Neurospora crassa OR74A: one gene and its partners. The protein of the gene in region 2 interacts with the protein of the main gene of each other region in a pairwise test. Links are inferred from orthologs where the notes say so. Each region holds a gene or a part of one and is shown on either strand. Other genes may lie near its edges.

Evidence for each region. The genes of interacting proteins can lie anywhere in the genome.
Region 1: the proteins of NCU03191 (region 2) and NCU03711 interact in a protein complementation assay, tested with the Saccharomyces cerevisiae proteins (3 studies listed by BioGRID, with this or other methods). The link is inferred for Neurospora crassa OR74A from reciprocal best matches to the Saccharomyces cerevisiae genes MRS6 and YPT7.
Region 3: the proteins of NCU03191 (region 2) and NCU02621 interact in binary tests that used the Saccharomyces cerevisiae proteins (3 or more experiments, as listed by UniProt). The link is inferred for Neurospora crassa OR74A from reciprocal best matches to the Saccharomyces cerevisiae genes MRS6 and SFP1.

The regions. Positions count from the first base shown.
Region 1 is NC_026505.1:2,171,869-2,176,345, reverse strand, and holds NCU03711 (GTP-binding protein ypt7), read left to right. Parts: upstream 1-1,593; 5' UTR 1,594-2,034; coding exon 2,035-2,064; intron 2,065-2,129; coding exon 2,130-2,183; intron 2,184-2,268; coding exon 2,269-2,364; intron 2,365-2,435; coding exon 2,436-2,660; intron 2,661-2,727; coding exon 2,728-2,940; 3' UTR 2,941-3,361; downstream 3,362-4,477. Other genes in the region: NCU03712 (hypothetical protein), read right to left, coding at 1-995; NCU03710 (integral membrane protein), read left to right, coding at 4,464-4,477. UniProt on the Saccharomyces cerevisiae protein: Ypt/Rab-type GTPases are key regulators of membrane trafficking and intracellular vesicular transport.
Region 2 is NC_026501.1:4,857,888-4,862,629, forward strand, and holds NCU03191 (rab protein geranylgeranyltransferase component A), read right to left. Parts: upstream 2,906-4,742; coding exon 2,826-2,905; intron 2,734-2,825; coding exon 1,670-2,733; intron 1,466-1,669; coding exon 1,137-1,465; 3' UTR 1,119-1,136; intron 970-1,118; 3' UTR 700-969; downstream 1-699. Other genes in the region: NCU03190 (Rec8), read left to right, coding at 1-594; NCU03192 (hypothetical protein), read right to left, coding at 4,112-4,133, 4,220-4,371. UniProt on the Saccharomyces cerevisiae protein: Substrate-binding subunit (component A) of the Rab geranylgeranyltransferase (GGTase) complex. Binds unprenylated Rab proteins and presents the substrate peptide to the catalytic component B.
Region 3 is NC_026501.1:2,943,318-2,948,250, forward strand, and holds the start of NCU02621 (C2H2 transcription factor), read right to left. Parts: upstream 3,417-4,933; 5' UTR 3,261-3,416; coding exon 2,581-3,260; intron 2,427-2,580; coding exon 1,299-2,426; intron 1,151-1,298; coding exon 970-1,150; intron 903-969; coding exon 762-902; 3' UTR 1-761. UniProt on the Saccharomyces cerevisiae protein: Transcription factor that regulates ribosomal protein (RP) and ribosome biogenesis (Ribi) gene expression in response to nutrients and stress. Promotes RP gene expression under optimal growth conditions.

The DNA of each region.
Region 1 (4,477 bases), on a different chromosome or scaffold from region 2:
AAGGTGAGTTGGGGGGAGAGGGATACTCCAGCTCCTCCCAAGCGACCTGGACCGAGACCAGGTCCGCTAAGGGCAGAGTGATAGGATTCGTTGATTAAACCACTGTTTGCCATGCTTCCCACGCCCCTCTTGACAACGCTGCTTCCCGAGTCGGTCGAAACTTGGTCATCATCGGTCTTGGCGTAAGGGCTGTCGTCACCAGCTTCGTCGTCGTTGTCATTGTTGTTGTTCGCAACACCCAACTTTCCCAGATGCCCGCCGAAGCCACCTGCACCGGCCCATCCTTCTTCCGCTTGTTCCTCGAGGTAGGCGAAACCATCTTCCGGGTCGTGCCAGTGCGCAAGGTAGAGGAAGTCGTTCAGGTGGTGAGTGACTCGCGCCTGTCCGCCGCTTTCTGCGCCGACTACGGCCACGAAGAGGAACTGCTTCGGAGCAGTCTGGACGCTCGTTCGAGTGAAGAGGCGGCGCGCGCGCAGGAGTTCGAGGGCTTGGATTTGCACGGCGCGCGGGGCATGGTCGAGGTTTTGGGCGAGGACGACGTTGGCTATTTGCGTTGCCGGTGGTTGTTGTTGTTGTTGCTGCTGTGATGGTGGTGGCGGGTGGGCGGAAGAAGATGAGCCGGGAACATTTTGTTTCGAGGAAAAGTATGAACCCGAGCCGGAAGGTACAGAGCGGTGGGAGTGGTGGTGTTGGGGGTTGTTGCTGTTGTTGGGCAGTGGTGAGCTTGGTGGAGTGACGGGGACTAAGAGTGCTGCTGCGAAATCATCGAGTGTCATCTGCGAGTGACATGGGACGATGACGGGCGTGAGGCCAAAGGTTTTGACGGCGGTCAGACATAGCTCTTTCGATAGGTCCTCGACAAAGTCGGGTTCGGTGCTGATCAGGCAGTGTTCCCGTGCGATGAGGGAGAGAAGGACGGCGAGCTCGAGATCGCTCAGGCTGTGTATTTTGTCCTGGAGTTCGGCTTGTTGTCGTTCCTTGATATCATCCTCCATTTCCAGTGCCGTTATTATGCCGAAGCATGAGGATCATATCCATGGACAGGAGTAGACGAGTCTCTTAGGTAGTGTAAGAGCAAGAAGAACTGGATGCCGATATTGCGGTCCTTCACGCCGGCGCTTTTTTCTTGTCACCGGGATTGGGCCATGCTTGGTGGATGGAAATCTCGAGATGGTCCGTCACTTTCCACAGTCGCCCGATCGGCAGGATGTTGTTAGGTTTTTATGTCTGTAAATTGTAGAGATAGTTATTCCTGTGAAGCGTACGAGTACATCAAGGGTGTGACAAAACTGAATTGAATGGAAGAAATGTGAGTCGGTCGCAATCTGTCGATCCTTTCTGCCCCTGGGACTGTTCCGCTGAGGAATGGGAGGATGACATGGCTGATGAAGAATGAATGAATGATCAATCGACACTTAATCCTTGGCGTTGGGCATGGTGCAGTGGGCCACAGGTTCCTCTTTGCGGGCCACCTGTCGTACATGTCGGGTGTTTCAGCTCGGACCAGGCCGACTTTGGGCGCTGGCGGGTGACTTCATTGGCTCCAGGGATGCACTGGCGAGACTGGACCAGTGGTGCGTGCCTGCCTGACGGCGCGCCAAAGGCGTCGAGGGCGTGTTAGCGCTGCGACCACCTCCGTCACTAGGTGGTTGTGTCGCAGAGCCGTCGCTCCTCCAACAGCGCAGCATTCAGTGACCAGCCCCAGTTCAACAAGTTCCCGCCGCCCCAACGTCCAGGTCGGTCACGTCGGTCGGTTAGGTCACCACTTATCGAAAACCAACCTACCTTACCTACCGCTTGGCCTTGTTTAGACTGAGTGCCGAATCTAGCAGCCTGCTACGACCTACACTAAACCCAACATTTGTTGCGCCCGCCGTCCTCCTCACACTCTTACGACTCCCATCTTTCTCGACTACCATCACTGGTGGACTGTTGTTCTTGACGATTGCCCGGAAGCACGCCAGCACGAGCAACTCCACCTCGTCCCGTTTCTACGTCTTATCAAACAACTTATCTAATTCCATACCGCCCGCCATGTCTTCGAGGAAGAAGGTTCTTCTCAAGGTGCGAGTCGGCCGCCAAATCGGACCATCTAGACAGCAACAGCTAACAATGACTCCCAATGGCAGGTTATCATCTTGGGCGACAGCGGTGTCGGAAAGACCAGTTTGATGAACCAATATGTATGCCAGCGTCGAGCCCGTTGTCACCATGCATTATGATACAAAGAGGACGTCATCTGACCCCCGCTCTTTTGGCGCAAAACAGGTCAACAAGAAGTTCAGTGCTAGCTACAAGGCCACTATCGGAGCCGATTTCTTGACCCGGGAGGTTCTGGTGGACGACCGCCAAGTAACCATGCAGGTGCGTGCGCCAAATACCCTACTTTGAGCTGGTTGGACGACGTGCTAATACGTAAGGTTCTCGACGGGCAGCTGTGGGACACAGCCGGACAAGAGAGGTTCCAGTCGCTGGGCGTTGCCTTCTACCGCGGTGCCGACTGCTGTGTTCTAGTATACGATGTCAACAACTCCAAGAGCTTCGATGCGCTCGACAGCTGGAGAGACGAGTTCCTTATCCAAGCATCTCCGCGAGACCCGGATAACTTCCCGTTCGTCGTGCTGGGTAACAAGATCGATATGGAAGAGAGCAAGAGGGTGGTATGTTTTCTGTTCGATGGGCCTTGTCGTATGTTGGAGATCATCATTTACTGACCTTGTGGCGCAGATTTCGACCAAGAGGGCCATGACCTTTTGTCAATCCAAGGGCAACATTCCGTATTTCGAGACCAGTGCAAAGGAGGCTATCAACGTCGAGCAGGCCTTTGAGGTTATCGCCAGAAACGCGCTCATGCAGGAAGAGTCGGAGGAGTTCAGCGGAGATTTCCAGGATCCCATCAACATTCACATCGAGAACGACCGGGATGGATGCGCGTGCTAAGGGCGAAGGAGCTCCATCAAGCTTCTAGTCCTCCTTTTGGGTTTATGAGGGAGTTTGGTTTTTCATGTCTTCATTTGTATGATATCACGCTGGGTATGACAGGAATGCGGTTTTGATCTTGGCTTGCAGAGACGGTGCTTAATGACCAGTGAGTTTGGAACGGGGGGAGTCAATGGGGTGCGCAAGAGTGAACGTGAACGGTGACGAGCAATGATAGATATGCACTGGTGTAGATGGGAGTATGGAATAATCATGGTCTTGGTGCCAGAGGTTTTCATCTCGACTGTCTTTCCTCTCCGAGTTTCCATAGCTGAGCATCTGGTAATTAGTCTAGGACCTGTGCAGCGGTCTTTCTGACTGTATCCAATGTGCTCTTCACCATGTCATCACATTTTGTAACAAGTGGTCGCAAGTCAACGACAACCCAGAGCTGTTGTATTATGGCACGACAATCTGGAACAACACCGAAAAGATTACTGCCTGCCTACTACCAGCGATAGCAGGTACCCGCCAGCTCCTTTCAGATAAGCGACCTATGTGGGAAATGCGTCTCCGCAGCTAATGTTTGGATGAGAGGTACCTACGTACATGCCTACATAATCACCTGCAGATGCATAACCTTTTCTTCACATTTTCAACTGCAACTAACGTTTGCCTTTTCAGCTCCTTCACCTCTTCACATCTCCAGGATGGAGAGTTTCATCATTGAGCCGATGACAAAACCACCGGCGACAGTAGCGCATTGGCGTGATGTCTCAGTGGTTGAAGATGAGTGGTAAAACAAAGCAACGGACACCGTACCTACTTCAACGGCCTATGGACTTTTTTTGTTGACTGAGAATAGCAAACAGATTGGACCCATCAAGTATTCGCGTCAGGGGCTGGATGGTATCACAGGGACTCCCATGGCGCCTCCGCAACTCTACTCGACTTTGAGATTTTGCGATTCCACTTCCCCGGAGTGGCAAACAACGACAAACCCACCTCCCGGGCCCCCTACCGCTCGTGGATCAGCATTTTCATAAGCGGTGTCGGGTTGGAGCGTCGTGGCCACCAGGGGGAGAAGGGCTCCAAAGGGGAACGAAATGTAAACATGCCCCTCTTGCTCCTTTTCATCCTGTTTCTCAGTATCTCGGGATGACGCGCGTCTCGTCGTTTCTGGCGCTCTGATCTCTGAAGCAGCTGATCTAGCCTCTCTGTTAGCGATTCTCAATAAGACTGGTAGGCTGTCTTTAACAGCCCCAGTAACATTTGGTCTTGGCTGTAATTCCTCAGCTCCCTATTTCCCACTGACGGCAGTAGCCAGCCAACCTTGGCTCAATGATACCGATAAGGTCCCCTGCGTCCGCTTCGCAACTCCCGACTCTTCTCACTCTTTGCTTTGGGACCCTGTCAATCCTCTTTTAGCCTCTCGCGCAGCGTTCTGTTTTTCTTGGTTTGAGCTTGTTTCAACTCTCGAGGGCTGTCCAGGAGCCTCCTGCTGTGTTTCCAGCGTCTTTCGGCCGTTTCGCGACTCTCAGAAAATGGTCTCTGCTGC
Region 2 (4,742 bases):
CCCATTGATCGCTTCAGCGACGCAGGATCCTACGCGCCCTTCTTGCACTCTGGCGGCGCCCCTGGTTTCTCATCCGACCCCATAATGCCACCTGGAGAGGATGAACCGCAGCTTCCGCATTTGCCTGGCGGTCCTCAGGGTGGCCGTGACCTCTTGCGCTGTACTCCTTCCGGCGAAGCTGAAATGACTGCTACCCAGGCTGCGGCCGAAACCTCCCAAGTAATGCGCGACGCTCTAGATCGCGACGGCCACAACTTCCTGGCTTACGTCAATATGGTAGCCAAAGCCAGAGGGGAGACGCGGTCCCTCGGCGGCGGCGGTGCTCCACCCTCTTCTTCCCATGCCCACGGAGACGGAAACGACAGACTTCTCAGACAGTGGGTTGCCTTTGACGAGCTGTTGGATGAACCTAGAGACAGAACCCGACAGGTGGCGACTCAGGCTTTCTACAACGTCTTGGTCCTCGCGACCAAAGACGCAATCAAGGTGGAGCAGGACATGGAGGGCTTCCAGCCGTTTGGCGAAATTCGCGTGGGCGTTGAGGTGTCGGAGGCTGAGATGCTGGCTCTGATGGAGGAGGATGGTGACGAGTGAAGTGGCTGATGCGGAGAGTTTTGCAAAGAATGCACACTTATCGGTGCAATCGGTGCGAGTCTTGCGGTTCTTTTCTTTATTATTATTTCTCGGTTCGGGTTGTCGGGTGGGTAAATGGGAAACGGGATGCTGTGCTCCCCTACACTGTGGGATCATGATTGAGTAAAGGGCCAGATGAGATACCATTTTGATTGGTTTGCTAAGCAATCATGCCTCTGACAAAAGCCATCTGGCGCATGCGGAAGATAGGATCACAGTTTCTGCGGAGGACATAGGGAGCTGATCTTCGGAGAAGTATAGGAAGGGGACAACGGACTTCAGGCAAACGGCAACTTTGCAACACGCTGGGGCTCACTTTGACAGAAGATTTGGCGACTGAGGAATTCACAACAAATCAGCTACCAGATAGCAGTGAGATGGATTGGCAATCGAATAATAGAAGTAAATTGAGATTAATCTTTTTCAAGTATGTTACGGAGTGTGCGGAGGGCGGTGCATAAGACAGTAAAGAGACCAGCCCTTACCATGGTCGTCACCAAGAATCATTCATAATCATCATCATCCACGGGTTCACGATCAGTGAAGACCATGTACTCTGCATCATCAACTGCGCCGCCAACGACCTTCTTCCACGCCTCACGGACATGATTCAGCGATGCATCGTCCATCAAGAGGGAAAGAGATGGGCCTGGCAGATCAAGAATCAACCCATCAAGTCGACTTTGCTTGACACCAGCAGCCTGTTCATAGTATAACTGATACAAGCACTGGGGGACTCGATCAGGGTCCACAGCGGAAAGCAAGGATTCAAGAGAGCGACTCAAGATCTCCTTGGAGTTAGGAGTCACCATTGTGGACAAGTATAAGACACCTGTTGGTTTCCAGTCAGCCATTTGCGCGTAACAAGTTATGAATGATGCGGAAGGGTTGAACGGATGAGAGTACGATCAGAATGTCAGAGGTATTTATCGTCAACGCCGAAGCTTGGACAATGTAGATAAGTATTCAAGATGTGGATCATCATAGTACTCGAAATGGGTAAATTGAAGGGAGCAAGGAAATAGATAAAACTTACTCTGACCATTGGGACATTCGCCAGTGCCGCTCGAGTGAGCGAAAACATAGACTGGGTCAGTGTTTGCTTCGCCAGGTGTTGTTAGTGAACCCGGAGGCAGAGCGACGACCGCAACGCAGGGAGTCGGCGCCCCGTCGACGGTAGACTCAAACAAGGTCTTGAGCGGAGAATCAACAACGGCCACTAGCCTGCTGATGCTCGGCTCGTCACCAACGCTTTCGTCTCCACGCACGAGCAACTTGGTTTTCACCTTGTCGCCGCTGGTCAACTCGAGCTCGATCTCGTCAGTAGCAGTCTCCATTGACTTGATACCAGCGCCAAGCATGTAGACAGCACCACCGACCGCACCGGCTCTACAGGCGACCTGGGCAATCTCGGAGATACCGCCCCATTTGGGATAGAGAGCAGCAAAGCCGGGGCCAAAGTGACCCATAGAGGTAAGATGGCGATGGACGATGAACAATCCATCCTCGGTAGTGATGCGGCCATCCAGCGAAAGCGTGAGGGTGATGATGTAGGTCTTGAGCTCGGTATCCATCTTGAAGTGCTCCTGTAAGAAGTCCACCAAGGGTTTATCGGCAAAAGGCTTCCAGGCATCTCTCTGCTCCGGACTGTCGTAGTCCAGCACAAACCGTAGAAACTTCATCAGTCCGCGCTTCGCCTTGGCCGATATAGCAGTAGTTGAAAAGACATCTTCGCGGGTGGAAGGAATGCGGACAAGGCTGGGTTGCTGTTCAGGGCCGACAGGTGCTTTGAAAATGTAGAACGATCCGACGGCGAGGAATTCCACCTGCCGGTACGCCCGGGAAGAAACCAATTGAGATAGCAGCTCCGAGCGGGCGTGGATCAACTGCGGTGCCAGTGCCAGCGAGTACGCTCTGGGGAAGGAGAGACCCACGACATCCGGCTTGGTGATAGACGCGGACCTGAAGAGGCCTTTGTCCTCGGTGGCCAGACGGTCAACCCAGGACTCAGCTTCTTGCAGGCTGAAAGCCGCTTCCGCCCCGCCATAGTAGTCGTTGGGGTCTATGTGCAAAATGTTCTTGCCCGATCGCGAGAGGGATCTTCAAGGCGGAGAACAGCTATGTCAGTCGGTCAGTTAGACAGGAGAACGATGAAAGTCGGATGAAGAAGAGCGAAAGAAAAGTTTGCTTACAGTGCAAGCAGAGACTGCTGCAGTCCGGTGCCGCAGATGACGACATCCCAAAGGGTATCGCCGATAGATCCCATCGCCATGACTAGGGACTCTGTGGTTCGCGGAACTGCCAGTCTGTTGGGAAGTAATAACTTGGGAAAAAGAACGAGGGTTGCAGCGGCAATTTTGAAATGAAGTTAAAGTTTGGTGCTTGCGGAGCCGGCAGTTCCTCGGACCGGTGTGGCTTTTTGAATCGGCCCCGCCCAAGCTTTCGTTTTTGTGGGTTTCTGTTGTTCGTCCCCCGCCTGACAAACGGGCAGACGCACGGGCCACTGGCGAAGCTTCGAAGTGGTCAAAACTCGACGTCCATCCACCCCAAATTTTCCTTTTTCTCTCATCAACCACTCAACGAAGAGACGCGGTTGCTGCTGCTGCTCTGCAGCCCAACAGTATCGCGGGAGTCTTGGGGGGCCTTTCATTAGGTTTCTCCGAAGTTGAGTGGCAGATTGATGCCACAAACAGCCCTTCTGTATCTCCTGCCTTAGAATCACCACATGTGAGGGCGGGTCGAACGATCGGCACATTTTTGCAACCATGCTATAAAAATTGCAAATGTCTTGACTGCTTTGCCAGCTCAACTCCGCGATGCCCAGAAGTTGTAGATGACTTTCCGACTCAGAAGCTCACACCTTTGCGGTTTTTATGCGCAGCGATGTTGTTAGCCGTCAAGTTATCTTGCATCATATCATGATGGCTTTGTGCGATCATCATCATTGATCACTATGTTGTACAGAGTCGTAACGGCTGAATTCGAAGCTGAACAGAGCGCTTTTGTTGTAGGATGTTCCAAGTGGGTATCCATTTACATCGCATTGCTCCTCGAGTACAAACAGGACAAGACAGGACAAGATGGTTTTGAATGGCACAGTCGCCCATCTCTCTCCGTAGAATTGGTGGTGTTTTATCCTCCTCCGGCCGCAACCAGGGTGCATCCAACATATGGGTATCTTCTTCGTACTCTCTGTCTCTCTGTCCATTGGCATGACCAAGCCGAGGTTCTCCGTCGAGATAATATTGACTCCTGATAGATCATGACTTCATGCCCATAGTCGGTGTTTGAAACCCCAGAGATCCTATGACTGCATCTAGACAAGGCCCATCATCCATCTATCTTGTCGCCGATCAACGTCCTCCACATCCGCCCCGAGAGGATCGCCCATTTTCCGCCTGTAGGCCGGCAGCCAGCCATCAAACTCCCCATCCGTGAAAGAAAACTCAAACTCGTAGTCGCAGCTCCTTCATTACACCTACTTCGTGTTACGAAGGGGTCTAAATATGATTACTGTTAGTGATCATGCATGTGGGAGGAATGACCGCCTCATGTGTCAAAGCGTGAGATAAGAGATAGAACATACCCGCAACCTAGAGGAGTTGTCACGCCAAAGAAGCAGTCACCTGCATTCTTGGGTACAACTTGCTCAGGCTTGATGGGTGTGATGACTACACCGGCGCTGACGAGGGAGGCGCAAAGCGAGAGAAGGGCGGCGGCGAGGGTGACGGGCTTCATGTTGACTTGTATGTTGGCTTGTGTCGTAGGAGGGTAGTTTTGTTTCTCGGGACGAGTCGAGTTGCGTTGTCTTGTTGAGATGAGGTAATAGTGGATGTTCTGATTGGTAAGGTATTTCGTTCGAACGATTGAAGTTCTTATCAAGCTTGAAGTTCAGACCAGCTGATGATATTATTAAACAACAATAGAACTGAGTAAAGTTGTTGTGGTTAACAACTACCCGTGGTAGGTATTAACAACCGTCCGCGGTGACCTAACTTTGAGGACGAACGAGCGCGAAAGGGGAACAGACAGGATGGGACGCTAAAAACGGAACAAAGGGCGACGAGAGAAAATAAGATCTGATATGAAGCAAAACATAAAATGACTTG
Region 3 (4,933 bases), about 1.9 Mb from region 2:
TGCTAACGCTACCTGAGAACCAGTGTGTGAAATCCTACCTCTATAATGGTCTTTCTCTCGTTCCTTCGCCCGTCTTCGTTTCGTCTCTCCTGGGTATAAGGGGGATATGCCGGCAAAACCCCCCCTTCTTTGAGAGATTCTTCGCCTTCTTCAACTTGATACATTTTCCCTCCAGATCCGAGACCAAGAATACAGACATTCGCTGCCATTCCCCTCTAGCTTTTAAGACTTTTCTCATTTTCCCAGACATCCCTTTTTTCCCCATACGTACTACCCTGCACTAAAGCCATACAAAGCCTATAGAAAACCACTTGACTCTTTTTTTCTGTACACTCCTCTCCTCTCGTGTACCGTGACAAATATTGGAAACAAACAAGAAACGAAAAGGAAAAAGAACAAGAAAAACGCCACGCAAAATGCTGCTACTGAAAGGTGTAGTGTAAACCCAAGATGGAACTTTTCTGACCCTCCAAAACATAACAGTGAAGTCAAACATGAAAACCGGAGATGAGAGGCGTTTTTTGCTAACCGATGCGTGACTTGTATGGCGGCCGCAACAGTAAACGGCAGTTTATCGGGAATCGGACACAGGGCTCCGCCATCAGACCTTTCCAAGGCTTGGATCGGATGCCGTGTGTCCCCACAACGTCAAGCCGAGGACGCTGGGTATATTAAGCTTCACGTGGACTGCGACCCGGGACAACGCAAGGTCGTTTGTCGATCTTGGCCATGTCCAACTGCTTATCAAATGCGCCTTCGTCCTACAACATGACGTCTTCGTTGATGTTGGGCAGGTTTTGCTGGAAAGCGATGAGCGCAGCTGGGTTGGACATCATGGTCGAGATCAAATTCTGGTGCTGGGCTCTCATTTCAGGGTCGCACATGGGGGAATGTTGCTTGTGCTATCATTGAAACTGTGTAAGCATCACTGTGTATGTGACAATGACCTGAAGGTAAATATCGACTTACGTATTTGAGACCATTCAAGTTCTTGTAGCGCTTTCCGCAAACGTCGCATTTGAAGGGCTTCTCCTTCTCCATACCCAGGGTACCAGGGTAAGGCGTGCTCGTTTCTGGATTGACGATCGAGAAGGTGCCGTCGCCGTTCTCATGCAATTGCTGGGTCGAATGTCCATGGGTCTTGTGGTACCTGGTTCGATTGTTAGTGGGACTTGGGGAAGGAATGCAGTTGGGAAAAGTATGGGGTTAATTGGCGTTGGTGGCCGACCAAAGAAAATTTCTGCAAAGGGCAAACAAATCGCACTTCAAAGGAGAAACACGTCGGGGTAAAAACTTACTTCAGACCATTCTGGTTCTTGTATGCCTTCTCGCATCCAATGACGGGACAGCGGAAAGGCTTGTGTTCTTCTGTCGGCGGCATCATGAGCGCAGTCATCTGCTGCAGAAGCAGAGCAGGGTCTGTACCAGGAGCAAGCTGATTCAAATCGAGATTCATCGACGCCAGGTGCTGCTGCAACTGCTGCTGCATCTGCATTTGGGCATCGAACGCTCGTTGCTGGCTCGTCATCTGGGTCGTACCACCAGGGCTATACAGCCTCTTTGCAGGATCATCAATCGTTCCCAAAGCCCCGAAAGCCAAGTTTCCCGCCAGTCCTCCGAGCTGGCCGCCGTTCAGATTCACACCGCCGATGTTCATCTTCATAGGCATTCCGGACATGTCATCACCATTGTCATCTTCCTGACCAAACTGTCCCCGCTGAGGTAGGCCTCCTTGTGTTGTCAGGGTTGGCGTGTTGACTGACGAAACGGTCGGGTTGTTCTGGAAACCAAAGCTGACAGCAGCAGGAGTTGGGGGTTGAGAAGTGCGCAAAGCCTGGTGCGGAAGCCCAGAGCTGTTCAGGTGTAGTTGAGAACGCTGCTGCTGCCCAAACAATTGCCGAGTCTGCTGGATTGTCCGCTGATTATCGTCCATCTCCATAGGTCCCACGGTCTCGTCAAGCTCCATCTCTCCGACAGTATCCATATCATCGTTCATGTGTGACATGGAGGACATTTTTGACACAGCTGGAGCTACTTGTTGCTGTCGCATCATCTGTCCGATACCGCCAAGGCCCATTCCTGCGCCAGCAACACTCAAATGACGCTGACCTTGATATCCATTCATCGCCTGGGCTCCTGGCTGAGCTCTACTCGCTGCAGGAGTTGGAGTGGCACGACTGGCGGTCCCGCGTGCGTTCCCTTGATTGGTGCCAAAGGTATTGAGATTCTGGTTGGAGGTGTTGGGTGCTGCGGTGGCGTGGTGGTTCTCCTCGTAATGTTGAAGGAGATCATGGAGAGTCGGCCACGTCCTGTCGCAGCAGGTGAAATCGCGCATGAAGTTGGCCTCGAGTTTGGGAATATACGACGAAGAATGGAACGAGGGAGACTGGTGCGTTAAATAGGGTGAAGTGCCTGTCATCATCATACTAACAACATCAACAGGTCAGCTTCGGTGTTAACAACCGACGGACAGTCCTCGGCGGCGATCCAGCTCCAGGATACCCAAGAACTCTGCTCCCGACTAACGCCAAGGACACAAACAAGCACCCCCAAGTGCAGGGAACAGCGGCAACAACTTACTCTTCGCGAATAAAGCTTCCAACAGAAATGCCGCCCCAGCTCATACCGTTACCCATAAGACTCCCCGCCATAAGGCTGCCTGCTCTGAGACTGCCAGCCATACTTTCGCGACGGATGCGGTTGACGTGGTCGCGATTAGGGTTTGCCATGGAGATGGGTTTTGCGCCAGTGCCTAGGAAGGATTCCTGTCGACTGCGGCTCAAGGCCGAGTCGAAATGTTGACCGGCAGTCATGTCGACGTCAGGGTCGAAACCAAGGTCGGCGAGGCAAGGGCCTTGGTCCCAGTTGATATCGAGATCGTCGAGATCGTGGGTTGGGAAAGTGATGGGATTGCGGTCAGCCGGTGAGATGGATGCAGTGGACCGATGATGGGAGACCGCAATGTCAATGGGTTTCGAGGCAGTGAGTGGCGAAAGATCGGATCGAGGAAAGACGGAGTCACGGGGGGTCAGCGGTTGGGGTGTCGGGGACGGCGACGGCGAGGATGGGTGAAGAAGGGAAGAGGGTGAATCGGTTGTTGAGTCGGAAGGCGATGGGTTCCTGAACGCTGCGGAAACAGAGGAAGGCGATGCGCGATAACTATTATTTCCACCGGCCCCAACGGAGGGCCCCGCAGGCTCGGGACTGTTACTGGGGCTGGAGGTGGTTTTGGAACTAAACCACTTCAGGGAGCGCTTCATGGCTGGAGGCACTAGCAGCGACCGAATGTGGATAACAGTGCTGGGCCTCGGATGTCGAGGGGGGTGAGTGGGCGGTAGGGATGGCGTCGTACAGTGAGAGTACTGGGTGCGCTAGACTAGGCCGCAACCTGGTTACGGCGTAATAGCAGGGGTGCGTGAAGCCGTGCCTTGTACCGTGTGATGATTATTAGTGAAAGAAGGATGGCAAAGTGATGCTGCCAATCAATGAAGGAAAAGTCGACACTCGCATGCGAGTTGTCCCGAGAAACAAGCGAAAACCAGAAGAGAGAACCGGGTTGAAGTGGTGGTGGGAAAAGGTATTAGAGAAGCCGGAAGGTGGTCGAGCGAATGGTGATTCTTCACCCATGGACGGTGAAGGGATCTTGGGGCTCTTTTTCCAACGTTGAACCTGACCCTTGACCAGGACGGACCTCGAAGGTGCAGTGGTGTGGTGGGATCTGACAAGCGAGGTTGCCCCGCCCGTTGCAGCGGTCGCCGTTCCGCTTGGAAGGCCAACACGGTAACACAACTGACGTTCCAGGGGTGCGGTGCCCTGTGGGTAGGTAGCCTGGGGGGCGGAGGATGTGCGTGATGCTACACTACACAACCTCGGGCTACTAAGTGGCTCGTCGAGGATGCGCCAAAGTTTCCAACTCCCTCGTTGCTGGTTCGTTGTGACCGTGTCGTACGTCTCGGTCAATGGCGTTGACCACTTGCGAACAAATCAGGCCGACTTGCGTCGCGGCGTTCCTGCACTCCTACACCACCGAGTTGGGGAATCGACGCTGAGCGGAATGTGGTGGTGGATTCGCGGTCCGAAATAGTTCGAATGATATGACCGTCGCTCTCAGGGATGGAAACAAAGCCCCCAGTTTTTTTCTTGTTTTTCTTCTTACTATTTAGTTGAATAGTTAGTATACCGGTAGGCAGAGGACGATTGGGTTTCGCGTGAGAGTAGAGCGTATATCGTTGAGTCCGTATTGGGTATCGATTTCAAGAAATGGGAGGTACTGGGGCGACGGAACAATGACTCTGATGCGCATCACAAGTCGGCCGCCGCACTCTTCACCTCGGGCAGCTTCCCCTCGGTTTAACACGATAGGACAACCTACAGAAGTAGCACGACACAGAAATCTTTGCTACAACGTATTATCCAAGAGCCCAACTCCCGACACAAAAAAGAAAGAAAAAGAATAAAACTATAGTCGACAAGAATAGTTGTACATCGGTAAGTACCGTAGTGGTTTTCGTCTGACGAGTGCCGTAGTAGTAGATGTGGTCGAAAGCAGGCAGCGAGGAGGGGAGAGGGGTCGCACAGCTAAACAGCTTGTTGTTATAAGAGCACGTACCGTCGCTTTCATGTAAGCCCCATGTAGCAGATGCCGTGCTGGTGTTTTTGATATAAAGTCAATTGGTTTCCAGTAACCGGTTGTAAAGGTCGTCGTATATCGAGGTTAAGATACGCACAGATATCCTGCAAGGTATGGGGAAGAAGCAGCCATCAAATAAGTGCGTTCCAGTCCGATAACCTGAGTCCTTCACGACACCTTCCAACCACAAACAACAAGCGGGTAGCAGGAAGGGGAAGGTATCTGATCGCTCCTGCCCCGAAACCACCTCTCCTTCTCCCCGAACCTAACACGGCATATGATGTGCCTCATATTTGCCTGTCT